Nothobranchius furzeri: one gene and its partners. The protein of the gene in region 6 interacts with the protein of the main gene of each other region in a pairwise test. Links are inferred from orthologs where the notes say so. Each region holds a gene or a part of one and is shown on either strand. Other genes may lie near its edges.

Evidence for each region.
Region 1: the proteins of meox2a (region 6) and oit3 interact in binary tests that used the Homo sapiens proteins (3 or more experiments, as listed by UniProt). The two-hybrid records come from large-scale screens. The link is inferred for Nothobranchius furzeri from reciprocal best matches to the Homo sapiens genes MEOX2 and OIT3.
Region 2: the proteins of meox2a (region 6) and rpl15 interact in binary tests that used the Homo sapiens proteins (3 or more experiments, as listed by UniProt). The two-hybrid records come from large-scale screens. The link is inferred for Nothobranchius furzeri from reciprocal best matches to the Homo sapiens genes MEOX2 and RPL15.
Region 3: the proteins of meox2a (region 6) and hat1 interact in binary tests that used the Homo sapiens proteins (3 or more experiments, as listed by UniProt). The two-hybrid records come from large-scale screens. The link is inferred for Nothobranchius furzeri from reciprocal best matches to the Homo sapiens genes MEOX2 and HAT1.
Region 4: the proteins of meox2a (region 6) and smad3a interact in binary tests that used the Homo sapiens proteins (3 or more experiments, as listed by UniProt). The two-hybrid records come from large-scale screens. The link is inferred for Nothobranchius furzeri from reciprocal best matches to the Homo sapiens genes MEOX2 and SMAD3.
Region 5: the proteins of meox2a (region 6) and prkab2 interact in binary tests that used the Homo sapiens proteins (3 or more experiments, as listed by UniProt). The link is inferred for Nothobranchius furzeri from reciprocal best matches to the Homo sapiens genes MEOX2 and PRKAB2.
Region 7: the proteins of meox2a (region 6) and kdm8 interact in a two-hybrid assay, tested with the Homo sapiens proteins (2 studies listed by BioGRID). The two-hybrid records come from large-scale screens. The link is inferred for Nothobranchius furzeri from reciprocal best matches to the Homo sapiens genes MEOX2 and KDM8.

The regions. Positions count from the first base shown.
Region 1 is NC_091752.1:15,863,978-15,867,976, reverse strand, and holds part of oit3 (oncoprotein-induced transcript 3 protein), read right to left. Parts: intron 3,949-3,999; coding exon 3,835-3,948; intron 881-3,834; coding exon 758-880; intron 681-757; coding exon 558-680; intron 1-557.
Region 2 is NC_091751.1:25,420,333-25,424,331, reverse strand, and holds part of rpl15 (large ribosomal subunit protein eL15), read left to right. Parts: intron 1-590; coding exon 591-727; intron 728-3,482; exon of another isoform or gene 3,483-3,840; coding exon of another isoform or gene 3,841-3,999. Other genes in the region: E3 SUMO-protein ligase ZBED1-like, read right to left, coding at 3,841-3,999.
Region 3 is NC_091754.1:20,781,592-20,785,590, forward strand, and holds part of hat1 (histone acetyltransferase type B catalytic subunit), read left to right. Parts: intron 1-2,782; coding exon 2,783-2,959; intron 2,960-3,035; coding exon 3,036-3,157; intron 3,158-3,702; coding exon 3,703-3,807; intron 3,808-3,999. UniProt on the Homo sapiens protein: Histone acetyltransferase that plays a role in different biological processes including cell cycle progression, glucose metabolism, histone production or DNA damage repair. Coordinates histone production and acetylation via H4 promoter binding.
Region 4 is NC_091749.1:43,501,869-43,506,562, reverse strand, and holds the start of smad3a (mothers against decapentaplegic homolog 3a), read right to left. Parts: upstream 3,085-4,694; 5' UTR 2,859-3,084; coding exon 2,656-2,858; intron 1-2,655. UniProt on the Homo sapiens protein: Receptor-regulated SMAD (R-SMAD) that is an intracellular signal transducer and transcriptional modulator activated by TGF-beta (transforming growth factor) and activin type 1 receptor kinases.
Region 5 is NC_091751.1:56,448,497-56,451,459, forward strand, and holds the end of prkab2 (5'-AMP-activated protein kinase subunit beta-2), read left to right. Parts: intron 1-1,159; coding exon 1,160-1,274; intron 1,275-1,347; coding exon 1,348-1,481; intron 1,482-1,585; coding exon 1,586-1,654; intron 1,655-1,772; coding exon 1,773-1,850; 3' UTR 1,851-2,272; downstream 2,273-2,963. UniProt on the Homo sapiens protein: Non-catalytic subunit of AMP-activated protein kinase (AMPK), an energy sensor protein kinase that plays a key role in regulating cellular energy metabolism.
Region 6 is NC_091745.1:64,687,236-64,691,234, reverse strand, and holds part of meox2a (homeobox protein MOX-2), read left to right. Parts: intron 1-1,624; coding exon 1,625-1,797; intron 1,798-3,999. UniProt on the Homo sapiens protein: Mesodermal transcription factor that plays a key role in somitogenesis and somitogenesis and limb muscle differentiation. Required during limb development for normal appendicular muscle formation and for the normal regulation of myogenic genes.
Region 7 is NC_091745.1:4,851,085-4,855,596, reverse strand, and holds the start of kdm8 (lysine-specific demethylase 8), read right to left. Parts: upstream 2,882-4,512; 5' UTR 2,751-2,881; intron 1,659-2,750; 5' UTR 1,636-1,658; coding exon 1,186-1,635; intron 980-1,185; coding exon 944-979; intron 512-943; coding exon 339-511; intron 1-338. UniProt on the Homo sapiens protein: Bifunctional enzyme that acts both as an endopeptidase and 2-oxoglutarate-dependent monooxygenase.

The DNA of each region.
Region 1 (3,999 bases), on a different chromosome or scaffold from region 6:
GCTGTAAATAAATTAACAAATAACTCAGAACAGGATAAAAATAGCCAGAGATTATTCACTGAGCTGGTTTTTGTCCTCTACTTAATAGCATCCCTGACTCCAGCTACTTTTCACATAATGATGGCAAAATGTACATGGAAAATCCTCAGTGTCATTGTACTTAAATCCCATAAAAATGACAATAATCATTGAACCATTTAGGTCACTGAGCAGGAATTAATGGAAATTATTCTAATAATGCAGGTAGACAACACATCTGAGCAGAACTGTCAAGAAAATCCTAATTTTCTTACCTCTATTGTCTATTGTATAGCCTGCCAGAAGGTAAATAGGAAATTAACCTGCACATCTCAAACTGTAAATGAGGTTAGGTGATGGTTCCTCACAAATCTTCTTTAGAGTGGGCTGTTTATTAATCATAATAAATGACAACACTGTGAAATATTTAATTTACCTATTATGGCCTTGGGAAGTACATTTTTGCACTGGAACACATTTGGAGATAAATGAAAGTGCCTCTCTTTCAAGCTTCCTTGTTCTCACACACATATACACACCCTGGCAAGTGTGTTTATCCTCTCCCAGCTCCAGCCCTCTGGGACAGAAGCACTGATAGGAGTCCTGCAGCGAGGAGCAGCCATGGCTACAGCCTCCGTTGTTGACGTGACAACCTGCAGTCTCTGCGAGAGGCAGCACACGATGAAGGGAATTAAATGCATAATGACTCCCTGTTTAATTATCTGTGTGCAGCATCTACCTCTACAGTTGTGTCCATCTTCACCCAGAGTCCGACCCCGCCCACACTCACAATGCCTGGAGCCTTTGGTGTTCACACACACCTCTGCACAGCCGCCATTGTCTTTATCACATTCATTTACATCTGGACACAGGACACAAGCAACGTCTTGTCAGATATGGTCATCAGATGAGTCTGGTTTGAATCCACTGAGCAGCACATGGGAGGAGTTTATCACCTCCAGGCAAGTTCCTTCCATTTTCAGGGTTGAGGGATGATAGATGGACTCCAAAGGACCTTTAAATGAAGTTTATAATACTAAGAGGACTGGTAAGAAAATGATGATGGATGAAATAAGAGTAGGGGGCAAAAGATAGAATGGAGAAAGTGAGGATGAACACCAGAGAAATTAACGTTGATTTATTTTCATTTCATTTTACACCTAAAATGTGTTCACCTTGAAATAGACAAGATCTGAATGCCTTGGCTCAAGTTTGAGCTCACCAGTGAAGAACGTTCCCATAATGCATCTGCCAAACATGCCGATGTCTGCATAATGAGTAAGTCGTAATAGCTCTGAACTTTAAAGAGCAAGTCACCCCTACCAGAATTTTACTCCACTCCCACTTCCTGTTTGAAAAACGTAACAAATGCTGTTGCCTGGTAGATAGAGAGGGTGGAGCCACTAACAAATACACACACACTAAGGCTCGCAACGGCATCGTGACATCATATGTTACCAGCTAATGTCATAGTGTACCTCTTAGCCAATAGCGATGGCAGATTTTAATTCAAATGTAGGGCAGAGTTTTTCAGCTGGGTTCAGCTAGCCGCAGGGCATTTCTGCTTGGACTAAAAAAACACCTGGTGTAGGTTACTGTAGCTTCTCACAACCAATCAGAAGGGGCATCAAAATACGCAATTTTCCCTGCGAACATTTAAATACGTGAGAGGCGTGGAGGGGGTGTGGGGGTGCGCGGACCGTTTCACCCTGTTTACTGACCGTCAGAGTGGGTGGGGGGTGGGGTAGAGGTTTGAATAGTCAGCGTGAGATATTGGAGGTGTGGCGTGAGAGCGTGTGGAGAGTCAAAGGCGTGAGAGTTGGCTGCCCTGCAAACATACCAGAAATTTGGATTTAAAAAGGCATTAAAAGTTAGTCACAAGTAAATATTAGCACATACTGATCATTAGAATTAGCAATAGCATTTTCATCACAGGGCTGCCAACTTTCGAACTTTTAATATGTTCGAGTTTGGGGGGGGGGGGTATTCTTTGATGTGAGATATTGGAGGTGTGACGTGAGAGCGTGTGATGGGGTCAAATGTGTGTGTGGCACGCTCAATGCATAAGAGCTGGCAGCCCTGTATCATCATGAGCTAATGAACTGAAAAAGCACAACTCATTCAGACGACCGTTGTTTAAAGCTTCTCCGGATCACTAAAATATTAACCTGAAATAAAACAGCTGTAGGCTTCCAGGTGAGGAAGGCAGCACAAGGTAGTTTGTTGTGTCGATCACTTCAGCACTGGGTAAATCCTCCTGGGCATGAAAAGTCTGACTTTTAAAACTAAATGGGTCGTAACATGAAGGAAGATGTAATGTTTTTGGGATATCATATCTGTGCCAGCTCATTTGAACCCTTAGTAAAGCCGCTTTCAAAAAGCAACATTAAGTTGGTTTTAACACTTCAAGCTATTGCTTCTAAACTGGTTCCAGTGATTCTTGAGCCATAAACTTGATCAACTTCACATTGCACAGCCCACTGTCGCCCTCTGCTGACCAGAAACTGCACTTAATAGTTTTGTGATTTGGGTAGAAAAACTAGTGGGAGGTTTCTATCTGCTTTATGCCAACAGCTGTTTACTGTGCAGGTAGCTATTACAAAGGCTGGCAGTTAGCTTTTTCAGTTTGGCGAGAAGAAGAATTTTGCTGGGACGGATGGGTGGATAAAAGTAAGAGTACTGACTTTGGAGTTAAAGCAAAGAGCTAAAACCAGAGTGAACATCAGCGTGGCCTACACTCAGTTGAGGGAGCTGGAGGACATTATGAAATCATGGACTGATGGTGACCTGGCTTTGTTGCTACTGGACTTGTAGGCAATAATATGTATGTGTCCAACAGTGTGGATCTTTCTATTTCAGAGCTTATTTACTATCAGTTGGCTCGTGTTAGCATTAACTCATAGTTAGCCCTATAGCTACAGTGGGCTGCGGCAGAGTTGTTGGAAACGTATTAGATGTTACTAAAGTACAAATTTTACACAATTTAATGTTGGGCTTTTGGGGGAAAAACAGTTTGCATGATATTGTTGTTTAAAAAAATAAAAATAAATCAAGTAAAAATGACAATATAAGAAGTCGTATAATTTTCTTTCAAATTTAAGCACTTATGTTTCAACAAAAAGCATCTACAAGAAATTAAAGTGGCCTGTACTTGTATAGCACCTTAGGGTTCTACAACCCCTCAAGTCCCTTTACAACACAATCAGTCATCCACCCATTCACAAAATGGTGAGTTACTATGCAGCCACAGCCGCCCTGGGGCGCACTGACAGAGGTGAGGCCTGCTGAACACTGGCGCCACCAGACCCTTCGACCACGGTCCAAGGCAGGTTAAGTATCTTGCCCAAGAACACAATGGCAGCGTTTTCTGGTCAGAGCTGGGATTGAACCTGCGACTTTCCTATTGTAGACAACCCACTCTACCTCCTGAGCTACTGCTGTCCCAGTTGGCAAACAAAAAAAAACTGCTGCCTCAAAGTGACACGACATGAGATCATGAAGAAGCTTCAATATATAAAATCCAGTCTAAACTACCTAAAAGATAAATCCACCATCACTAATCTTGTGCTTTCTGCAAAGCAGTTAGAAAAATATTACCATGATGTCTCGAACACCATTTTTTCATACGCACATTTGGTTATTATCTAAATGAAAGTGAGTCAAATTTGACTCCTGACAGAAATATAAAAGAAAAAGTAAAGTGCATTTGCACAAAGAATGATATAATTCTGTTACATCAAGTTAACACTAACGGATGTGGATGGGACTTTAAATGCATGATCCTCATGTATTCCCACCCCCACACGCTTGACTCACCCAGACATGTTTGTCTGTCTGGACCCAGGACCGTTCCAGGACCACAGCGGCATTCAGGCACATCGGGACATCTGGGACCCATGCATTCAACCTCATCACAGATGTCGTAGAAATCTGTGCAACACGAAACACACAACATCAGGAAAACAAAACGATAAACCTTAT
Region 2 (3,999 bases), on a different chromosome or scaffold from region 6:
CCAGACAGGCTGGAGTTGGTACAGCCTTCACACACTACAGTTAATCAACATGAACACAATCCAACACTAGTAAGCTCTTCTAACTCCCTTTGGTTACGTCAGAGGTTCGGTTTTTAAACCGAGCCTTTTTAGAAGCTTTGCTGAGAAAGGCCACTTTTTACTATAAAACTCTGCTGTTATGTATTTTAAAACAAAATATACACAATAAGCATTTCAAATAGTATTTTTGGACAGCATTTTGAATAAATTAGAAAAAATTAAACCAACAATTTGCTCTTTAAAACTATCATATCATAACATCTAGTTTGCTCATTAATTTTCTTGATTTAAAAAAATATTTAGTAGATTTCTTTTTGATGAACCTTTTTAAGGGTCTTTTGTAAAGCCACGTTTGGTGCACAAAGATTCTCACCTGGACTGAAACCATCCTTACGGTATCTGTACTATTAAAGCCCACAGGATTCCCTGGTTTAGTGAAAGCTGCTCGTTGTCTTCTGTAGGAGTGAACCAACAGCTTTGATCCCAGGTCTTATTGGGTCTAGGGTTTATCTTTATTTGTGCAGCCCTTGATGAGATTTTGTGTTCAACAGGCTATGTCATCTACCGTGTTCGAGTGCGTCGAGGTGGCCGTAAACGCCCCGTTCCCAAGGGGGCGACCTACGGCAAACCAGTGCACCACGGCGTGAATCAGCTCAAGTTCGCCCGCAGTTTGCAGTCAACTGCTGAGGTACGCGAGTCTTGTCTTCATCAGCAGATGTTTGGTTCATGTCTAAGAAGTTTGGAGTTTTATTTGTGGTGTTGGGTCTTTATAGCCTAGTGAACTAGACCAAATTCTTGCTTTGCAAAGAATGGTCTAGGCATGCTCCATTGGAACCTCAGCAGCTCCTACCAGGACTCTGGCTAGCCAATCACAGCTCTAAAGGGGTTTCAAACACATAAAGAGCTGTGATTGGTCCATAATGGTGGGCCAATCATAGTGCTCAATCTGCTTAGTGAACAAATCACAGAGCTTTATCCGCTTTGTGGGCAAATCAGGGCACTCTATATGCCTGGTGGGTGGGATGATGCAACAGAGTGAAACAAGAGTATGTCACATTCATTGTCCAGTGGAATGCGGAGATCATTTGAAAGACAACAGTAGAACCCGCCCCACAACCGAGAGCCGTCAATGGAGCATGGCCAGACTAAATAATACATTTATTTAGTCTGGCTTGCCAGGCTAGGGTCTTTACACAGTTCAGATTGGATTACCATTACAAGTAGTGCTGCCACGATGAGTCAGTTTGTCACGATGACCAACAAAATGGTCGACAATAAATTGAATAAGCAACATTGTATAAAAAATGTTACTTTTTTTATCTTGCCTGCTGCGTTTCTGCTGGGGGCACGCACGCAGTAGTGGCCGTCCGGGTCAGCCGCTGCGTCATCGGAAAAACGGGATTTTGGGGAGATGCCAGCGTAGCTCAAAAGTTTAGGAGCATTTTACAAAGATTAAAGAAGCATGTACAGCGCAAAATTAGCAAAGTAGAACCCTCCTTTCACTGGAGCTCAATGGCGATGCACAAACACCTTAAAAGGAAGCTCATCTTGGCAGAGGAGGAAGATTAGTGATGGGTACTTTGACATTTGAATCTATGGTACCAATTTTTGATACTTTTGAGTGTTTAATAATTATTTAAATAGCTTTTAAAATTAAAAATATACTTTTTGCCCAATAAATAACCACATTTGATAAATACCATAACAGACAACAGTTTGTATTTTGTCATCGTAGTGTTGTACAAATGTCTTAAAAATCAAAACCTTTAACTGTTTCTAAACGATGCAAAAACAAACCCAGCTCCATGTACTCATCATGTTCTATGCCCTCTAAAATAACTGATGAGGAGACCATGCATTATAAACTACAAATAAAACTAAAGCAAACTTCAATACCATGCAACAGTTTGTATTTTAATATTGTGGAGTTTGACAAACTAAACCCAGCTTCATGTACTTTTCCTCCCTTCTCTGAACAAATTGTGATGGTGGGTCCTTGTAGTTTAAACTGCTAATTACACTGAAGTAAACATCTTTGCTGTGAACCATATTTACTGTGTATCTTCATTCCTTTTGCCATTCATTTTCAAACTGTTTATTTTTCCTACTCTAAAGCTGGAATTTCCAAGGAGATGGCGAACACACCATCAGATATGTAAACAAAAACCAAACTATCAAGCTAACGTTCTTGGACTGTTTATTCTGCTGCTGGAGCAGATTAAGATGACTCATACTAACTTAGGTCGTTGTCGCTGGTTTCATCACCCAGTTACCCATCCCATTTAGTGAGGTGAACCCAAACTTCAGAACGCTTCGTCTCTGCCATGCTGCTCTGTTCACAGCTCGCCCAGAGTGACTGACGACATTACGCTCTTGCTCCGGCGCGTAGCATGGGTATCAAAAAAAGGCAAAAAATGACACAAGTCAGTACTTGGTCGGTACTATGGAATTCAGTCTTTGCCTTTTAAAAGTACTGAATTCAGTACCCATCTCTAAAAAAGATGGAACAGTCACTTCTGTAAGCTAATTACCTCTTGTTAGCTTCTAACAGCCATAGCAATAATAGTAGTGGTGACTATTTCATTACCACACGTAACGTTACAAACACTAATTTATTGTGTCCCTCTACGTTAGTCTTAAAAAACAGAACTCTTCTTCAGTGGACAAGTTTGCTACTAAGTGAAGAACACGCACACCTCGGCAAGCTAATGTTCTGAATGAGGCAGTCTTAAACATGTTGGTGACAGGAATGAGACCCCTGTTGTTAAGCTATCATCTTGTCTTTATTTTTAGATGGCACATAACGGATCATACTTGAAACTAGAAATGATGGGTATATTATAGCAGCTGCATCCTGGTAAAATAAGTAATGCTTAATGCGTGACACCATTTGTTGACTAATCGTCAAACATGATTAGTCCATAGTTAAAATGTTTGTGGCAGCCCTAATTAAAATATACATAGCTTCTTGCTCTTTGGGATTTTCTCTTTTTAGGTGAAATTATAGTTGATGCTGATTGTAGCAAGGTTCTGTTTTAATACAGCTCCAGTGGTCTCTAGTAGGAATGAATCTCTTGTAAGGACAGATCAGAATCTGTTTTTGCCGCAAGCCGCTTTTTGGACACGTGAATTTCAACAGTCAACATAGGGCTAGACAGGAAATCACACACGGTTTAAGTATCCCCAGTAATTTTCAAAATAAGTCAAATGCAGCGATGCAGTTTCATGTAGATTAAGTCAATACGATTGACATAAAGGCTCATTTACTCCCTGCATCATTCCAGAAGCGCAGTGGTGTGGTTTTCATGGCTTTAATCCTGGCTAGGGCTGGGCGATTTTGCCCCCCAAAAAAATCTTCGATTTTTGAAGAAAAATTCGAGTTTCGATTCGATTTTCGATTTTTTTCCCCAATGCACTTAAAAAATGGCTGCAGACATCAGATATAGTGTCAAAAGTGCAACTTTATTGCTATGATTGTCCTCAAGAGTTAAACTGCGTAGAATCCCAAAACAAAAAGTAAATGAGGCTCTGTCATTCAACAATTTCAAGCTTTAACCCAGGTTTAAACAAAAGTGCAACAGCTTCACAGTAGCTTAAATTTTCTGTTCAAGAAAACACATTAATAAAAATTTTGTAACATAAAATTACCAAAAAAATAAAAATCTCAGTATAGTGTGAATACAAAAATGAAACAAGCCTGTGGCAGACATATAGCCTGCTCAAAGAATGAACAAATCTGTAAACGTTTATAACAACAAAATATGTGCTTGTTAGATCTCTGAAAAACTGTGCATGCTCATTCTAAACATTTTTTGCAAGAAAGATGAGCCTGTCCACAACATCTGGCTTAAGGCAGGCCCGGTTGCAGGTAACTATTCCTCCACCTACACTAAATACTCTCTCTGAGGGGGCACTAGTGGCTGGAACAGAAAGATATTTTTTAGCCAGTAAGCTTAGTCT
Region 3 (3,999 bases), on a different chromosome or scaffold from region 6:
GAACACGTCAGAAACATCTCTGGTAACCCTTAGCTACTTTCTGGATAACTGTCATCGACATTTCCTGCAGGTTAGCTAAACAATCCGCCTGCGCTCCGGACCGTTCTTCAGGACTTTAGGAAAGGGAATGATGTAGTGATGTGTTAGTCGCTAAAGACACGGCTCCCAGAGTCGGCTCTGTTGGGTTAACCAGAGTGAGTGACACACTCCGTACCTGCGGGCTCCTGAGCCGCTAAAAACTGCTAAATGTGCGCGTGCGGCGCGCTAAACACACGTGCAGGTTGCTCCTGATTGCTGTGAGACTGGGTTGGGGTGTGTGTGTGCAGCTGTGGTTGGGACAATTATTACATTAACTGATGGACTTGTAAATAAATAGTTTATAAATAAGGTAGAAATAGATAGAAATAAGTTCCTCACACTGATAACTAATCTCTCTGAGGACACGGTGCTAGTGCACGCTCCTACAGCACCTTGACACGACTAAATAAATGCTATGCAACATTTAGTGAACAGCAATTTGCATGTATTTGTTATAAATGCCACTGTATAATTCTTGCTGTCAGTATTTGCAAGATATTGGTATTTGGGTCTGTACTGGTTAGACTTAAATGAGTTAAACCAAGGTTTATAGCCCTTGGGTCATAGACTATGAGCTATAAGTATATTGGTCTTTTTATACTGGGAATCAGGAGTTATTTTAGTGACTGATTGTGCCCTGAGCAGTTTTATGACTGAATAAAAACAAATAAAATCAACATAAATTGAAAAATCATCTTAAATAATCGAGATCTCAATTTCAGTCACAACAATCGTGATTATTATTTTTGCCATAATCGAGCAGCCCTACCTAATACATAGGCATATAAAATGATGCTCTTAAAAAAAAGTTCAGCAAAGGACCCAGTCCATCGTTGACGGTCGATTAATTTGTCCACTCGCCCAGCATAAGAGTGTCTGTGTGACAGGTTGTAAATATGGTGGATGGCCTGTGTCTACACGAGCTCTGGCACTTCACTTGGTGCAAAGAAATCTCTTTTTTTCTTCAACTTGTCAGTTTTTGGTGTTGAAGAAACAAAACAGTTTTTTGGCTTGAAATTTTGCTCTCAAATAAGCTCATAATTCTGCTGGATGTAAACACAAATTAGCCAAACAAACGGTGTCTGGAAGCAAATCTACAGCGAATAAGATATTTACGACTATTATACTGAATTATTTTTCTAAATGTCCCTTAATTAGATTTAGAAAAAGGACATAAATACATCAACAAACAGCACTTTATTAAACATGAAAAGAGCCGCTCCTCTTCTTTGGGCAGCACAGCTTAGAGCCAACAATGAACCCGAAACGCAGTGTCAGTGTGCACCACTGCTCAGAGTTGACCGTTGACCCCATGAGTGTGGGTTCACCTTGTTAAGGGTTTGAGTGCAGCTGTCGGGCAGGCAGAGCGGCACAGTTCGGGCTTCGTCTGAAGAGCGTTTGTCTCTGAGTGCGTGTGGACGGTCGTGGTGCGGTGCAGCTGGCGAAGGGATGACGGGAGGCCGAGCTGGAGTTGATGCAGCTGCTACATTCATGCACGACGGCGACCAGAACTCACCTTCTCCTCTTTAAATTGGGCAAAAACACCACAATGCTGGACGTTTTCCAGAAAACCCAATTAGTTGATTGTTTTTAGTTTGTTTGAGCTACAAACTTGTAGTTTAATTCATCATTTTTGCACAGATTTAACCTGAAGAGTTTAAACTTACAAGCTCTAAGACGGCCCTTATAGTTGATTGAAGAGTTAAAAAAAACACAAATTAGACAACTAACAACTAATTAGATAGTTTATGCTTATTGTTGGAAAATCAAAGACATCAACTGACTGCTGCCAAGGAGCATTGTTGAGTTATATTCACGGCAAAGTGAAGCATCCATTCTGGAAGGCCATGCAATTCAGCATCTAGTATGCAGGAGAGTGGTTGGGACAAAGCGACTTGTTTGTCCATGGCCTTTTAAGTGTGGTCCTTGTTCTCCAGAAATGTGGCTGAACAATTACAATAGTTAAGAGGCATTCAGCTGCAGGTGCATTACTTCCAGTTAGATATTAGCTGATGTCTGAAAGGGGGGAATTAGCAGTATGTTGTATTAGCCTTTTGTAGTGCATTTTGCTCAGACCTTCTTCATTTCCCAGTTTTCAATGCGGAGCAGTGAGGGTCTCTGTGCTCCCATAATGCCCATCACACATGTAAATGGTGTGAAAGGGCTGCTTAGCAAAGTGTTCTCATGTCAATCCTTGTGGAAATGGATACAATGCAAACATTACAGCTGAACTAACCACACGTTCTACCGAGTAAAAAGTCCAGGGGAAGGGCCCCTTTGTCTCCGAGGCCCTTTGAAAAACGCGGGGGCCAGATTCATTTGATTGGGTTCACTTGGCAGGATTAGAGGAGAGGCCTCTTATTATGGATGCCCAAAGGTTTGTTAAGCTGAAATCAATTCATAAGATTTTTTTTTCTTCTCAGTGAGAAGCAGAAATGTGTTTATTGAGGCAACTTCATCACATATTCATGGTTCAATCTAAGTGGTAAATGTACAGATTTAAGTGGCCTTGTCGGGGTGGGGAGGTGCCGAGGACTTTGCTCAGCTGACAGTTTTAATTGCCTAATGGTTTTCTTTTCAGCGTCTCTAAAAACGTGTGCTTTGAGTTTTTTTTTGCCGCTTTGGCCAAACAAAAAACAGAAAGACTAAAATTTCCTGCTGGTGTTTTCAAGTTAATGAGTCCAGCTTTATTGTTTTCATCCAGCCGGATGATGTCGGAGGGAAAATCCGGGAAATAATCCCAGCTGGTTTCACCTCCAGCACGGATGACTTCATCTCGCTGTTGGAGAAGGAGGCCAAGTTCAAGCCCTTCGGCACCCTGCTTCACTCGTACACGATCCACAATGAGGAGGCCGGAGAACTCACCTACCAGATTCACAAGGTACGCGCAAACCACGCTCATAATCTCACCAACTCATCAGAGGAAGACGTAAACGGTTTTATTAAACTGGGCCCAGGCTGACATCACCTGCCCTGGATTCCAAGAGTACCACGAGCGCCTGCAGACCTTCCTCATGTGGTTCATCGAGACCGCCAGCTTCATCGACACAGACGACGATCGTTGGGACTACTTTCTCGTGTGAGTAGCCTCCTTAATTGACACTAACCCCCCAGCTTTACCCTTAAAGCCTTTTATTGTGTCATTGAAAAACAAAGCCCCCCTTTGAGGCGCTTGTGACCAATTACCAGGCCGGTTTGATTATATTTCCCCATGTAGGAGAATTGTTGATCAGGCAAGAGCTTTCTTTGTGCCCAGAGCCCCTTTCAGATTTTTCTGGGGCAAGAGTTGAATTGAATACTGTTGTCTTTTGAAACACTGAACAATGTCCTAACAGTAAAAAGAGCCTCTGCCAGTGTTTTCTTTACCCTGGCACTTATTAATAGTCACAATAGGCAAAATGGACTGAAGTGATGTTGAGGAGCTCAAACCCTCCTCCAAGCCCTTCTCTTCCTCTAAGTTGCAGTACTCCAATTAAGTGCATAATGTATTCATGTTGTAGCAGGTGTACCAATCGGGCCCTGGCTGCTCCTGACGAGGGGGGCACGAGAACAGAGAAGCTAAAACGGACACTGCATGGGAGTGTGCCTGTAATTGACCTGTTTGCCTTTGTGTTTCATCTGCAGATTTGAAAAGTACAATAAAGACGGGGAGACTCTCTACGCAACTGTTGGCTACATGACCGTTTATAATTACTACGTGTACCCAGACAAAACCAGACCACGTGTAAGGTAATTGCTGGGGCAGCACGTGCCTTCCCATTCTTTTGTATAAGAAAAGGAGTGGAAAATTATACATTTCTTTATCCCTTTTCCCCCCAAAAGCCCAAATTACTGGCTTATATAGCCAACCATTGAAGCAGATTTTGTTTCAGAACCAAACCGGGCTGATTTGTATCTGAAAACAACTGTATAGATAAGCCT
Region 4 (4,694 bases), on a different chromosome or scaffold from region 6:
GACACACACATGCAAGTCATAAGAAAAGATTTGGGCTTCTTATTTACCAATAATTAAAAAACACAAGAAAATAGACTGAAGGTCTAACAATATGAAATAGTTGTGAAGAATCACTGTGAATAAATAGAATAGAATAGACTTTGTGGATCCCACAGTAGGGAAATTCACTTATTACAGCAGCGCCAGCACAAAAAAAAAAAAAAAAAAGCTGAACTTGTGATGATGCGGGGCCAGAATAAATTAGTTACAAGATCACACGTGCAGAGGAGTTAAAAGTGATTCTGATGTTTAGAATACTTTGATTTACAGATACAGTTCATAATCATTTTGACTAATGTATAATGTGTCCAATTTGCTGGCAATAAATCAAGTGACTGCTTGGAACAAAAGTCAAAACTAGATTAATAACTCCCTCAGATTAACAAATATAAAGAAAGGATGCTACAAACAACAATAAATACAATTATCAGTTACTTTAAAGAGGCAATGTGTAGTTTATACCATTAATCTCTGTAAATATCCATCAAAACAATGTTGAAAATAAATTAAATGATGTCCAGTTGTTGAAAAATATTGGCAGCATTGTACCATATAACCATAAAAATTGAGTGTAAACTGCATTGTGTGCAGGTCAAAAATCTTTGGAGGACGCCATATTAGATGCCAAGTTTCCTTCTGGAGGGCTCGCAAGCTTGTGCCTGTCGATGATATCACACTAGATGATTGGCTAAGCGTACAACCTACAGAAGTTACGTTACCACATTCAAAAATATCTTGGCAGTGAGAAACAATAATTTAATAACAAAACTGCTAAACTTTTTCCAAAACCTATGTGAGAGAACAGAATTGAAAAAGAGATGCAATATATATTTGGCTGAACGGTATTTTCGTAGTATGATGACGTAGGGCTGGGCAATATGGCCTAAAATATATATTCTGATATAATCTGAAGCATGTGCAATAACAATATTTATTGCGATGTATTTTTTCCTCTGTTAATATATGTCAAAATGACATGCTTTTAAAAATCCACATTTGGCAAATATATTGCAGCAGAATAAAGACGTCCAAAAAGTAGAATGCTCCTCCTCCTCTGCCCTCTCCATACTTGCAGTCACTGCCATTCTGTTGTCCCAATGTCAGGGAGAGTGCACATTTATTGACACCATGTGTTACCATGATAGAGCCAAAAACTCTATCATTACCCAATTTTATATCGTTTCTACCTTATATAGTTTATACTGCCCACCACTACATCATTGGCAAGCGCAGGACCCCTGAGCAGCTCTGGAAAGTACAGCACCAGAAAATTAGCATCTGCATTGCATTCTCTCTATGGAAATACCTGAAGAACAATCAAAGTTTGAGGAGACACGCCAAGGTTGCATGCTTTCTGTTCCACAGGTAACAACATTTACGGTAATGTTTTTTTTTTTTAACTAGCGACAGTCACAGCAATATGGTGTAAAACTACCCTGAAATGTATGTACTGCCCCCTGGCACCAGGAAACTACACGTTGCCACCTTAAGATGGTAAAATCTTTTAAAATTTTTAAGCATTTTTCATTAGCGGTTTGCTTCTTGGCCGTTTGCACATTACTCCTGCTTGGTTCAGTGAATACCAACTTGTTACCTAATGAAAAAGTTGCCATCAGTAATCGTGAAGCACTGTTTCATCCCAAAGTGCACACACTGATGGTTAAATAATACAGCCTTTAGAATTGTCAGAGCTAAAAATGGCATTTATTAATCCAGCTGACAGCTATGTTTCCCTCCTCCTTGCAGAGAAAAAAAATGAAATCAATAAGCCAAACCACTATTCATAATTTATTCATCTGACCACTGAAAACCAAACACAGCTGAATTATTTACTGTTCCAAGGAGATCGTTTGAATTAATTAATTTAGAGTGTTAAATGTTAACTTTTCATCCCATGAGAGCATTTTTGTCTCTAATATATTTTGTCAAATGATAAACACCTTTATTTGCGTTTTTTTTTTACATATTTTCTCGTGTTTGCTGTTGCATTGCCTCCAATTCTGCCCACGCTATGAAAGCACCTGTTACACATAGTAACCTGCAGTGGATTTACTTGTATTAAATAAAAATGCTGATATATGTCTGTATAGAGGCATTGAGAGAAGATAGAGAGCCCATCTAGACTCGCCTACGCACTAACAACGCTAGAAAACGTTCCAGATTAAGGCCAAGTTATATAACTACCAGTGCACATTGCATGTGTGCTATTGGCTCGTTATGCTTAAAACGTGTTTTTGACAACATAATCTGGGTCATACCAAGCTGCTAGGAGTTGTTTCAATTCACTTGAAGTGCAAAATAGCAATATGATGACACATAGATAACAGACAATAATACATTTGAGCCGTAATTTACAGATTAGCTGGTGAACTGTTTCCTTAGCTAAAACTTTGATGTTTAATAAACGCTAAATAACTGAGTTTGAAATATTAACGCGAGAAAATATCTGGAAATATTTGCTTCTCACACAAGAAGTGGTGCCTTTAACGTGCAATAGACAGTAAAAGCAGTGGCAGATTGGTATAATTTGTTATAAAGCTGTAATAAACGGATAAAACAGCGCGTGAGATGCTAACTTTACGGTCAGCATCAAACCAACCTGCTAGCTCTCCTTACCTCGGTATGGTGATGCATTTTGTGTTGATATTCTGCGTGGTGATGGCTTTCTCCAGTTCATCCAGCTGTCCCGTCTTCTTCAGCTTCTTCACTAGACTTTTCACCGCCTTTTCGCACCACTTCTCCTCCTGGCCGTTCTGCTCTCCCTTCTTCCAGCCCAAAAGTCTTTTGACGATGGGGGGAGTGAAAGGCAAAATTGACATCTTGAGTTCAGTCAAGTCCGTCCTGTCTCGAGAAGTCTGCTGGGTTTTTTTTCTTCTGGACGTTATACGAAAACGACTACCTTTGTGGCGGTCTACGCAGTGACGAAGAGAGCAAGTCTTCGCTAAAAAGTTATTGTTTTTTATCTAGAGCTACACAGGAGCATCCCAGGGCCAAACTTCTCAGTTTTAGCGAACTCGTTTACCCTGGCTCGAGGAGGTAAACGGCGGATTGTGCACCGGTATTCTTTGGTGCTGTGGATTTAGTGCTGCTCCGCAAGACCAACTAGTCCGTCTGCACCTACTCAAGCAAATGTTATTTAAATAACTCCAACCTGAATTAAAATACGATTTAAAACTATGAATAAAACGTTAAAAAATAAAGGAGTAACGCTAGTGGTGTGTTTTATTGACTGTTCTAATCCTCGAAGCGCAAAGTTTTGTGAAGTTCAGAACCCTCCGCGGTGTGTAGTCCGCCGGCTGAAATCTGCTTGAAGTCTGCATCAGATGCAAATGCAGGAGTTGCTGCTCAGACTCTATTCAGGCTTCAGACTGCTGCAGACCTGTAGCAGCTCTGTCACAGCAGCTGGCCAAAGGGGCCGTGCTGATGTTGCACAATCACTGCCTCTCCTCATGCTAGCAAACTGCTGCGGTCTATAAAAGCGGTCATACGCAGCACTTGATTCAGTTATGTAACACCAACCAGTTTATTTATTTTTTGTCCACACTAGTGCACTTAAAAATGTATGTTTTTTTCTTCAGAGGAACAAAGAAGCTTTGATGTTTATTTAAATGACTTTATCTCAGTTAACTTTATGTAACACAGTTCAAACTGTAATATCACATTTTTGTTTCTTCCCACTCAACACTAACATTTTTTTCTGATTTACCAGGAGAATACATTCATTTTTTGCTCATATGTTATGTTTTTAGAAATCGTCATATGCTCAAGTGTCTAAAGGTTAAGGTGTAGTGTAAAATATGTCCAGTGTGTGTTTGTTGTGTAAACACCTGGGGCTTGAGATCTCTAACACAGAACTTTCCAGTAATGCTCTCTGGGTTGTTCTACCTTCACACGACTGAATAACACTGGAGCTGCTGTAAGACAGAAGGTAATAGAAGTAGCTGCACGCATGCATGAGTTTGCACACTTTCTTGCCTCGGCTTGTTAGGCCTTCAGATGAGTGCTGCTACTCCTCAAGGTGGCAATTTAGTTTATTGCTTGGTTCAGCCTTTAAATTACAGCTATAGTCAAGCACATGCACACACTCTCATATGCATAAACACCCCCTCCTTCATGCACTGAATGTCAAAGAGTCAAGTGCCAGATGTACGACTGAGTGTGGAGTAGAGCTGAGCTCAGACAGTGATAGTGGGTAGCCATAAATGCATTTCAACGAAGAAGGTGGTCCTCTGTGGGTTTTTATCACTCAGAAAAGAGGAATAATGTCTGTACCAAGAGCACAAATGGGACTTGTGATCATCAGGCATGCGGATCAATTGCCTCTGCTTTCAGATCATAGCCTTATTAAAATAGTAGCATTGACTTGTGGTTTTGGTATGCGTGTACAGGAGCACTGACTTGTGTCCAGCAGCCCCTCTCCACAGCACACAGAGCTTAGTTTGTGCTAAAAATACTTAAGGTCCAGCAGGACAAATGCCTTTCCTTTCATCTATTCTGGTTGACCAGTGTTTATTTTTATATCAGCCAAAAGAAGTTCACTCTACATGTGCTGAGTTAGGAAAAATAAACTCATTGTTTTAACGTTATTTTTGCTTTGTCGTGTTAAAGAATTAAAGTTCAGTGCCCCCCCCCCCCCCCAAAAAAAACCAAAAAGC
Region 5 (2,963 bases), on a different chromosome or scaffold from region 6:
AGCGCGCCCCAGGGCAGCTGTGGCTACATCATAGCTCATCCCCACCAGCGTGTGAATGTGTGTGTGAATGGGTGAATGACTGTGTTGTAAAGCACCTTGGGGGGGGTCCCAGGACTCTAGAAGGCGCTATATAAAATACAGGCCGTTTTCCATTTTCCTGTTAGTTCGTTTGCTTCTTGTTTTTAACAAAAGACACGACAGATTTATTTGTGCTCGGCATCAGTTCGGTGTGGAGACACCAACCCCCAGTCAGAGTAAATAACAGCCTGTAGACCATTAACTGGAAAGTTTGCAGAGGTGGCTCCGAACAATGTAGTGCAGCTTAAACCAGATACAAAGCAGAAACTAAAAATAGAGATGGGTAGGTTCCTGAAGTAAAAGGAACTTCACTCTCATCAGTGATCTGAAACCAAAAATCACTGATTTTATTGTGTAACAGGATTCACGTCTTTTCCTCTCACACCATCTGAAAGGTAAAGTTGGTGAGTAATAAAAGAGAGTACGGTATGAATAATTTAAGTGGAAGGAAAATTGACTTGCTGTTGAGACGAGGAGCCACTTTAACCATGAGATGATTCGCCAGAGCATTTGAGGTTTGTTGTCTCATCCCACGCTGACAAGATGAATGAGCTGCTGGGAAAATCGATAGCAGCAATCGCCTGCTGGCTGATGCACAGCCTGGAGTCGAACACGTCATAAAACAACTATGTTTAACTGTCAGATTGTGAATGCAGCTTCTCCGCTGGATCATAGCGGGAGCCTTCAGCCTGGTTTAAATGATGTGCTGGGAAACAGCAAGTCTAGCTTTTTTTTTATCTCCTCGGTCGAGCGAGTAAATGTGAAAATAAATACAACAAAATAGTCGCTAAAACAGGTAAACAGGATTCATTAAAGTACGTCGGTCTCCTTCTGCAACTAAATCCACAACATTTCACCCTGCTCTCCATTAAAAATAAAAATTATTGCTTTTTTTGACTCATTATTTTATTATTTTATTTGCCGGAGTCACAAAAGCCACCATTACATCATATATGATAAGTGAAAGGAAGCCCATGTTTGGTATTTTCCTGCAAAATTGTTCACATGCTCATCAGGACCTGCTTCCACTCATGCAGTTTGTGTTGATCATCACCAACTGGGTCGTTGTTTTGTCTTGCAGCCGGTGGTAACGAGTCAACTCGGCACCATTAACAACCTGATCCAGGTGAAGAAGTCAGACTTTGAGGTGTTTGACGCTCTGCAGGTCGACTCTCTGGAGTGCTCCGACACATCAGGTGAGATCCGCTGTGACTCCTTATTTGGGTTAGCAGGGTGTCATCAGTCAAAGTGTGAACTGTTTTGTTCTAGATCTGTCCAGCTCCCCTCCAGGCCCGTACGGACAGGAGCAGTACATCTTTAGACCCGAGGAGCACTTCAAAGCCCCTCCGATTCTCCCTCCTCACCTGCTTCAAGTCATTCTCAACAAGGACACTAATGTATCTGTCAGTGTCTCCATCATCATCGGTCTACTTTGAATTCTAGCTGAATACTTTCAATGTCCTTTCTAAATTTGCCACTGATCATATTTCCTTTCACCCTGCTCTAGTGTGACCCTGCCCTGCTGCCTGAACCCAACCACGTGATGTTAAATCACCTTTATGCTCTTTCCATAAAGGTAGGTGCACTGGAAGCTGAAGTCTGCCTCACGTTGTTCAGACGTGGCAGGTAGAACGTGAAATATTGCATCGTTTTCTGATATAAATTCTTAAATCTCATTATTTTTGTTTGTGTAGGATGGAGTCATGGTGCTGAGTGCTACTCACAGATATAAAAAGAAATACGTCACTTCTCTGCTTTACAAGCCCATCTAAGCCTCCACTCATGGGCTCTTTAAGAGCAGCTTGTTTGTATTCTGCTATTTAGTGTTTGCTTTACCAGCGTTTGTGGTCACCTTCAGGCAAATCTTGCACTGATACACGTTTACAAGTGGGTTACACACACAGGGTGTGCACTTCTGTCTACATAGGGCTTTATTCAAAAGTAGCCAAGTGCATCTGTGGCAGTGAGAGGGATTCAAACTCAAATGTGGCTTTCACTAACACGGCATACTACGAATGCAAAAACAATAGTTTATTTTTGTGCAGGTACTGTATATCAGTCTTTTTTTTTTTTTTTTTAATCAGGTAGAGGAGTTTGAATGTGTCTAGGATTTTTCAGCAGTTTTGATTTTTGGGAACTGTTGTGTCTAGAGATGCACTGAATGAGGGGATTTTCAAGAATGTTTTTGCAAAAACTCAAAATTACGTATCTTTAAAATGTATATGTTGAGAAAAGAGGTAAAAGTTGAAGTAAACGAGGTTTTTAAAGTAAAAAAGAGACTTAATTTCTCCTTATTTGTCACTTTTGTGCTATTGAAAGCTGTAGATGTTTGAGATGACATGAGTAGGTCAAGAGTATTAAATAAGTCCGAATCAAACTTCAGCGCATCTCTAGATGTGCAAGCGTGTAACATTTCTTTCCATTTATTTATTTGCTTGCATGCAGATCAAGAATACGTTTTGACCTGCAGCGACACATTCTGTATTGTCTGACCTTGAAGTGCAAAAACGTGCCATTAAAAAGAAAAATCTAAACCCTGCGTAGTGATGATCACTGGCCGAGGGGATTTTCTAACCTGAGCTGAGATCATGTCTGATGTATCTGAACAGAAACCTTCATCCAGGTGAATCTGTTCGGTTTCTGTTCATGAGCACTTTACCGTCCTGTGTGCAGGAGCGACAGTGTAAGGTTTGAACTATGCAGCAGCTGACAGCTCCATTAGCTTCTTGGATTAAATTTAGATTTTTTTTAAATTTAATTAGCTTGGTTCCTTTTATATGTTTGTTTTCAGCAGGTAGTCAAACATGAATGTACTGCCTCTGTTTAAATGTCTGCAGCCTGCAGTACAGATGTTTGTAGAAAACAGGTCTTTGATGACACGATTA
Region 6 (3,999 bases):
GCAACTCCACCACATGGCAGAACTCCAAACAGCTTGTGTTATTAGTGGCGATAAAACGTCCATGTCGCAGAGCGAATGGAGTCATTCCTGACGTCTGAAGCTACTTTCTCCTCTGGCTAAATTATCCATGCTGAAACAGGCGCACCGGAGCTTTTTTTCCCCCAGAGTATGACTTACGAAGCGTTCATTTCTACTAAGAAATATGAGTGAAGGACCTCTTGAAAAAAGCAAATATTTCTTTTCACTTGCTCTTATTTTTTTCAAGAGGGTCCCTGTTGAACTTGAGTTCATTAGAGAACCCTGAGCGGCGCTCCCTGTCTGGGTGTATTCTCCCTAAATTATTCCTCCTTTTTTGTGGAGAGATGAAAGTTTCGGCGAGGACCTAATTGCTGTGGTGGAGCGGCGGTGCCATAAAAGCTCGCCGCTCCTTTTAACTCCAGGCCTGGTCTGAAGCGACTGGCTGCATTATACTTTTATTTCTTTTTTACACGTCTGCGTGAACCAGAGGGAGTGGGTCTGAGGACGTGATTCAGTCAGCCACTTGGTTTAAAAATACAGGGGGGGGCAAGGTCAAAGGTGAGCCAGACACAAGCTGCAGGTCAACAAAGGCCGTTTTCCATTTCTTACCCCTTATATGTGAATTCCTGCAGTTTCTGCTTCTGTTTGCTTGCCTTCTGCTCTAAATCTAACTTTTGTAGAGCAGCTCGGTCTCTTCTTCTCGTTGTTTTGCTGCTCTGGAAAAGTCAGGCCCAATAAGACAGAACCAGCAGGCCTCCATTACGTGTGTCTGGCTCAGAGCTGCAGGACTATTTACAGTTTTGTTCGACGCAGACTGGCAGAGTTAAAATTCACGGGACCACAGATGAGTTTCCGTACAATTGCTGCTGCTTTAAGTCCCACGAGCATCTGAATTGTGTCCAGCAGAGCCCACAAGAGCTGCTTTTAACAGGAATCATTTGAAAGGCAAATTAACCATATGTGTTTTCTTTGGAGGGGTTCTGGAAACACGAGGAAAACTGGATTGTTGTAGATTGATGGTGATGAAGCAGGAATTTGTTATTTCTCTCCTGCAAGTGTACAATCTGTTTTTGTCTTGACTTTAGTCCTTTTTCTCTAGTCTGGGATTGTTTTCCTTTCCACACACATCTAAATATAACTTTTATGATGCCAATATATTTACTGACTTTGGGAACTCAGTGATAAATAGCTGGAAGGGACAGAAAATGATGATTTTTCAGCTTTTCTGAGACTTTTGCTCCCCGTCTGGTGAAGTCAAAGCAGCAAATATCTTTTCAAACTCAGACAAATTAAATCCATGCTGGTCGTGTAAAAGCCGGCGTATTGTCCCGACACAGCTGCTGCAGTCAGACACACATGTGCTGCCGCCCATGAGTCCTTCCACCCACTTAAAGTATTCATAAACAACGACTGAACAATAAAACGTGACTGACAGCTCTGATTGTTTCTCTTAACTTTGCCGTTTCTTTCTCACCCTTGCAGCCGCACCTGCCGCAAAGCCTTTGCCTTGGTGTTTTTCATTTGTTTTTTATTTGATTCTTCTATTTTTGCTGCATATAAATCTGCCCCTGAGCACAGCAGAAACCTGTGTGGTGTTTGGTTTCAGAGTCCCAGGACGGGAATTACAAGCCAGACGTGAGCAGCAAGCCCAGGAAGGAGCGGACAGCATTCACCAAGGAGCAAATCCGAGAGCTGGAGGCTGAGTTCGCCCACCACAACTACCTGACCCGGCTACGGCGCTACGAGATCGCCGTCAACCTCGACCTCACTGAAAGACAAGTATGTTCCCGTGAGCTGCAGGTTGCCCCCGCCCCCAGGGTTTAGGCGTAGCTGAACCCTCCATTACCACATTAAGGCCATGTTGGGAAAACAGAAGCACCCTCGGAACTTTGAGGAGACTTTTCACTCGCTACCGTGTTTTGGCAACTTTGCTATGAGGGGTTATTGTGCTCCAGATGTGGCGGTGTCAGAGGACTATCATATTCCAGATGTTCCTGTCTATTCTTTCAGGGCCAGCCTGCAGTCACGACAGGGAGACGGGCCGGAGGAAGCGCTGTCTAGCAGGCCACTTCCTCTCTCACGCGACCTGTGCAGCTACAAATTGGTCTCCAAGCGTGGGACGCTCGCTTTCAAACGCAGGCAGACGAAATAAATAACAGGAGACAAATGGACGGAGGTGGGGGGGGGGGGGGGGGGGGGCGTAATGCTGGTTGATCTATGACACCTCTTTGGAAGCCGTACCTCAAAAGTAATTGACACCACGCCAGTGATTTTTGTACCATAGAGAATTGACAAAGAGTTTGGAAATGCTTCTGGAGTTTCAGGTGCTGCCTGAGAGTTTGATACCTCGCACACATTCAGGCAAAACAATATAAAAAGACAGGCCAAGACGCTTGCTCAAAAGCCTTTTGAGTCAGAAATACTTTTTATGGTTGTTTTTTGAAGATTAGGTTTACAGATGCCACTGCCAGCTATTGTTCTGCAGCAGAAATGTTTGCAACAGCTGCACCAATATACAAAAGAACAGACAGAAAGTCTTTATTGCAGCAGAATCACATAAACTCCCACAGCACAGTGGGTCTGTGAATGGTGCGGTCTTCCAAGAAGCCAACAAAACAAAACCTGTAGGGAAGATCAGTGACAGTTAGGATAGATGAAAACCAAAAACCTCACTTTTCTTGGATTGTAAACATGTTTCCTATAGGATTCCCACAATCTGCCAGCTTTTACAACGCTAAATCTACTAATGCTATAACATTTTGATTCACCCAATCACAAAAATAAAGACACACAGGGATTGAAGCAGTTAAAACATGATCCAGTATACTGTTGAATAATCTGAAGCTTATTTCAATTTCCAAAGAAGGCGTTTAAAGAGAAACTAAACAGTTTTGGCTTGCTTTTAGCACCCCCTAGTGCTTGTTAGTAAAAACCGAAAGTAAAACTTATCTCCTCGCTGTGCGTTTGTCTTTTTAACTCTTCATTTAACAGCTGAAATGTCTCACCAGCCTTACAAGAACAGTTCATCACTAAATTAAACAAATCAGCTGTGTTCATGATCTAAAACATACAGGAAACATGCTGGAAGCAGACTGCAGTGCCAGGCGCGCCAGCTCCACTTTACTAAGTCCAAAAGAGAGCGGCCTGCCACTCTGAAGTTGAAAGAGTGGTATCCTGGCCACTAGGGATGTAAGAAAATATCAAAATGGCAATACATTGTGATATTTCATCCTGTGATATTTAAAAGCCTTGTATCAAAATTTAGGAAGAATTAACATGCAAACATTTGTGTATTTTCTTTTCTTTTGGTGCAATTCAAACACCGACTGCTAGTTGGCATCAGTGTGCAATGGGTTTTGTTTTCCCCATTGAAATGTAATTCCCTCTATTATGGTTCCGATACCTCATGTTAAACATGTTAAGTATCAGTTCGGACTGTTTATTGATTTTTCCTACCATAAATTCAGTTTTAAAAATTCGCTAATATCGTCTGGCTGAATGCATCGCAATATATATCGTATCGTATCATCTCCCCTGTATCGTGATACGTATTGCATCACCAGAATGTCACCATTACACATCCCTAGCTACAGAGAGCAGTGGGTTCTGAGTGACTTTTCATTAACCCTGTAAAGGGTCATTTTAGCACATACTGGCTCAAGAAAATAATTTAAAAATATGAAAAAGTTACAAAATATCCCTTTAAACAATAAGCTAAAGTTTAGACTGAGGCCTAGTCCACACGTAGCTGGTTTTTTTTAAACGAATATCCGCCCCTCCAAAAACTTGCATCCACACCACCTCGTTTAAAAAAAAAACTCTGTCCACACGTACCCGGATAAATACGTTGTTAAGGACATGCCAGACCTGTAGGCGGCAGTACTTCCCCGTTCTTAACCTCATCCTTCGTCTGTGGTCTTCCGCAAGGAGCGGTAATTCCGCTTGCAAAAACAAACAAGCAAAAAGCACTTGGACAATTGA
Region 7 (4,512 bases), about 60 Mb from region 6:
GCTGTCCCTTTGAGAGTCCTCCAGCTTTCTGTCCTCTCAGCTGGAAAAGTGCACTTAGCTATTGTCACAAGAGCAGATCAGTCTGATTACACGGCTGGACTGAATGGAAGTGGGGCTGTTATATTCCACATCGCCGGAGGGTTTTGTTAACTCTGAAAAGCTCATTCTGACAGAGTAAGACTCTTGTAGTCAAACTTGCTTTACTACTCCCGAGTGTTTTAACATGCGGACTATAAAGGAACATGGTGATTGTCACGTAGAAATAAACATGCTAACGAGCCACATAACAGGGAATAACAACATTCAGCTGAAGGAGAATGTATTCTGATGAGACAAACCTCCAGGGACGGTTGTTGAGGGCGGGCCAGTGGTCGATTATCCCTTCTAAAATCACCGGCTTGAGAGGAACCAAGTACTTTGTATTGAAGCTTTCCAGAGAAGGACACTTAATCCTCTCCACCGCCAACTCTTCTTTGATTGGAGGAACACGTGGGACCACAATCTTCATTCTCTGGTAATGACGACAGAAATAAATGGGGGGGGGGGGGGTCATTTTCAGTCTAATAATAAAAATGACCTAGTTTTAAACTTTTAGGGTCTTTATGAGGGTGTGTTGACTTCCTTTACCAAATATAAAAGTTCAATTTGTTTCAAACGGACACTTGGCGAAACAAAAAGGAAACATATGAACATACAACTGTTATTAATAACATGTTTGTGACATTTTAAAGACCAGATTAAAACAGCCGGTATAGAAAAATGATAAATAGCCATCACAGCCCTGCTTTGTAAAGAATTACTCACAGATTCTTTGGATGCTTCAACAGTTTTAGGTTGACATTTTCAGGGCACAGACTAAAAATGTATAATCAAGTAAAAAAACAAACAAAAAAAAAAAAAACAGAAGCAGCAGCCAACCCCCGTCTAAACAAAGTGATCTGACCTTTGAGAATGTGTGGCACTTCATCTTCAGTGACATCTGATGAGGTGCACCCAGATGAAGGGCAAGAAGGGAGATACTTTTTATAAAAAATAACTTTTCTACAGTCTATTCCACAACATCAGCCTTGAACTTTTGATTATAATGTAAATCAAGAGTTTCACAACAACACCACATAAAACACGTTCCTCTAACTTACTTGAACATTTGCTAATTTAAAGGATAAAATAAATTGGCCAGCTGACCTTGGCTTCAACATAGTCCGTTTCTTCTTTAGTGGTTTTTCTTATTTCACTTTGCAGAATCCGAACAAAAACCTGGAGTATATTATCCATGACGGCCGCGCCCATGAGTAAACCCATGTCACACGTCCTGACAGCCTGAAGGATCTCGTGCTCTGATGGACTTTCTCGACATAAAGCGGCCACTTTAAACAGGCAGCCATAGGAGTAAAGTCGCCTCCAGTCCTTGTCCACATCACGCCATGTTCCGGTGTTGAGTCTCTCCCATGAAATGTCCAAAACGACTTGAGCATAAAGAGTTTGGTTGTTGCTTCTTGTGGTGCTGTACAGTTGGTGTCTGGATCTCGTCAGCATTTCCACCACACTCGACTCCACTTTGTCACTGAACTGCAGAGGGAACTGTTCCTCATTAATCGGTAGAGCAGCTGAGAGTTTTGACCACAAGGATTCCATTGACAACTAGGTCCTCCTGTATTCTGTAGAATGAAGAAACAAGAAGTGCCAAAGCATCGCAAAATGTTAGAATGCAGTGTTAAGCTAAAGTTGTAGCTAAACTGTATGGAAAGTCTAACTTGGATTAAAGCCAACACTTTTCAGAGGTATGGGCTGGAATGTAATCACATGCATGCTTGGCTGCATGCTGGGCTCATCAGTGGCCCAATCTGCAATCCCTACCCACCACCACACACATACACTGGATTCTTGTTTATTTCATTAATGAAAAATCTCTCTCTGCTGCATGAAAACAGAAGTCTGCTCCTAATTTCCAAACTGGCAGACACAGGTGAGGACATCCTGAGCCAGAACTGGTCGTGTGACACATGCACAATGACGGCGCTCTCTGGAAGTGCCAGCCCTGTCTTTGTGTGACTCCATCCATGTTTGGATGCTGCTCTGTGATGCTGGAGGTGCTGCCAAGGCTTGAGGCAGCCAACTTTGTGCACCTGACTCTTTTGAAAATAGAAAATCCCAACCACGTGAACGCAAATGCATGCTAGATTGTTCCAAAATTAAGATTTTTTTTAGTTAATATATCACATGTCTAAAGGGTGGTGCAGCCCTGCAGCAGTTCCCAGAGACAGAAATGCCAATAGATGAAACACTCGAGCCAAACAGAAAAAGAGGAAAACATTAACATAGAGCTGGCATTTAAAAATTACACAAAATATTTCTGAAATTCCTCTGGTAAACAAAAGTTACCTTCATCTTTTAAACAAAATGTTAAACAACTGCAGACATGTAGACACAATTCGCTTTGAGCTCTTTAAAAGGCTTTTGTTGCCAAATCTCCCTGACTTTAAGACAAGTATATTACGTAATCAATTAAAAACTTTTTAATGTGACCAAACTTCTACTCAAAAAACTCAAATCTCCTTAAAGGTAAAACAACTTTTTACAATCAGCTAACGCGTTGTGAACGTTGTAATGCATTTATACTTTTTTTAAACAATGTTGCAAATATAAAAAGCCACTTTAGTTTATTTTGAAGGCGCCGCACCTTAAAATAAACCCCAGCTTAAAATCAGAACAGTTGTTTAGTAAAAAGCAAAGTAAAAACGACTATTTACCTGTTTTGTCTTTATTTACATCGCTAGCCACGCTAACACGGCTGCAGCTAGCGGTGGGACAACAAAAACACACCGGAAGGGAACCGGAGCTGCAGGAAATATCAGTTCCACTTTTTAGTAGGTGTTGTCAAAACTGTGAAATGGCTCCAAAAATAGGGATGATTAATCATAAAATCCAGTTTTATCACAAACCGAAGAGTTTCAATGATCATGGTATGTTAAGTCTTTGATTTTGACACAGAAAAAGCATTAATTCACCGTCTGGTCCAGCAGAGGGTACTGTAAGTGGAAATCCAAGCTGGACTGCTACAAACTGAAATCACACACTTGTTTTTCATGTGTGGGCAGTTTCCTACTATCTATACACTCTCCCACATCACACTCCCACACACTCACATTTGTCCACATCTTAGTCTTGTTGCAGCTCAGAAGTTCGTTCATCTCTCCTCTGAGCTCTCTGTTATTAAACCGGTTGAAGCTGAGCAAAATGAGTTTAACAAAGCCTCATTTAAATACACGTCAAGTCATCTACATCTGTTTCAACAACAGGTGGACCAGATTGTCTGATCCCTGTGCTGCGTTGAGAAAACTCTTGTCATGATAAATGATGGCAGAACTGACATTGTCCGTCCCCCCCCCCTCTCTCTCTCTCTCTCTCTCTCGCTCTCTCTCCTTTCATAGCTCCTGCTGTTCATGATTGTATGTTGTGTAAATACACCTATCCCTAGAGGGCTTACTGATTTGTGTCTGCTCACATGAAGCTAAAACAATAATCTGGTTTGTCTTTTTGATGTCACATTCGGGTTTCTGGGTTTTTCATCTCTCTCTCTCTCTCTCTCTCTCTCTCTCTCTCTCTCTCTCTCTCTCTCTCTCTCTCTCTCTCTCTCTCTCTCTCTCTTCTTTTGCAGGGAGCTGGCCTGAACAAACACGACAGGAAAGGAAAACCTTCAGCAGTGGAAGTGTGGAATCTCTAAACTCTCAGCACTATTATCAAATGTCAAACATTCTGTGAAATTCAAATAATCTCAGTGGAAAGCGCAGAGCTGTTCTTGTATGTAAAGCAGACGGGGCTGAGTGACGTGCTGCCTTTCCTGGAATCACAGGGGATTTTAAGATGTTTCAAGCATCTCTGTTCACTCTGACTGTGTAAACAGCAGAATCCTTGTGGCTCAGTCTATTGTTCACTTACTTCCATGAAGGTGGGAAATGCCTATGTGATGGCGAAAAAAGCTGTGTGATTGATTTTTTTTATGCTTTTGCAACTGCTAATGGAATGGGGAAATGAATCTGGTCATGAATGTAGTAGAAATGCAGATAAACAGCATGTAATATCAGCTAAATGACATCAAATTAAGAGGCAATCTTTGCACACCCTCACAGGACTCCGGCCCCTAAAGACAACATTGGATTCTTGTGCTAGAACTGTTTTTATTGTTTGAGGACACTTGATTGGAATCTAAAATAAGTAAAAACTGTTATTTGGGGGCGGGGGGTGTCAATATTTAAAAGAACTTTTAAACTACCAAATGAATGTGCTGGTCTAACGAGTGAATTTCCCCACTGTGGGATTTATGAAGTCTATTCTGTTTTATTTAAATGTTCCAAAGCAACACGTGCTTTTCCACATTTATGACATCCTACAAATCCAAACTAGCTAGAAGGAAAATGAATGAAATTCATACCAAACACAAGCTGGGGTTCCAGGAGGATTTGTAAGAAATATGTAAGACAGCCTCAGAGCCAGGTCGCTGCCTGTATTTGT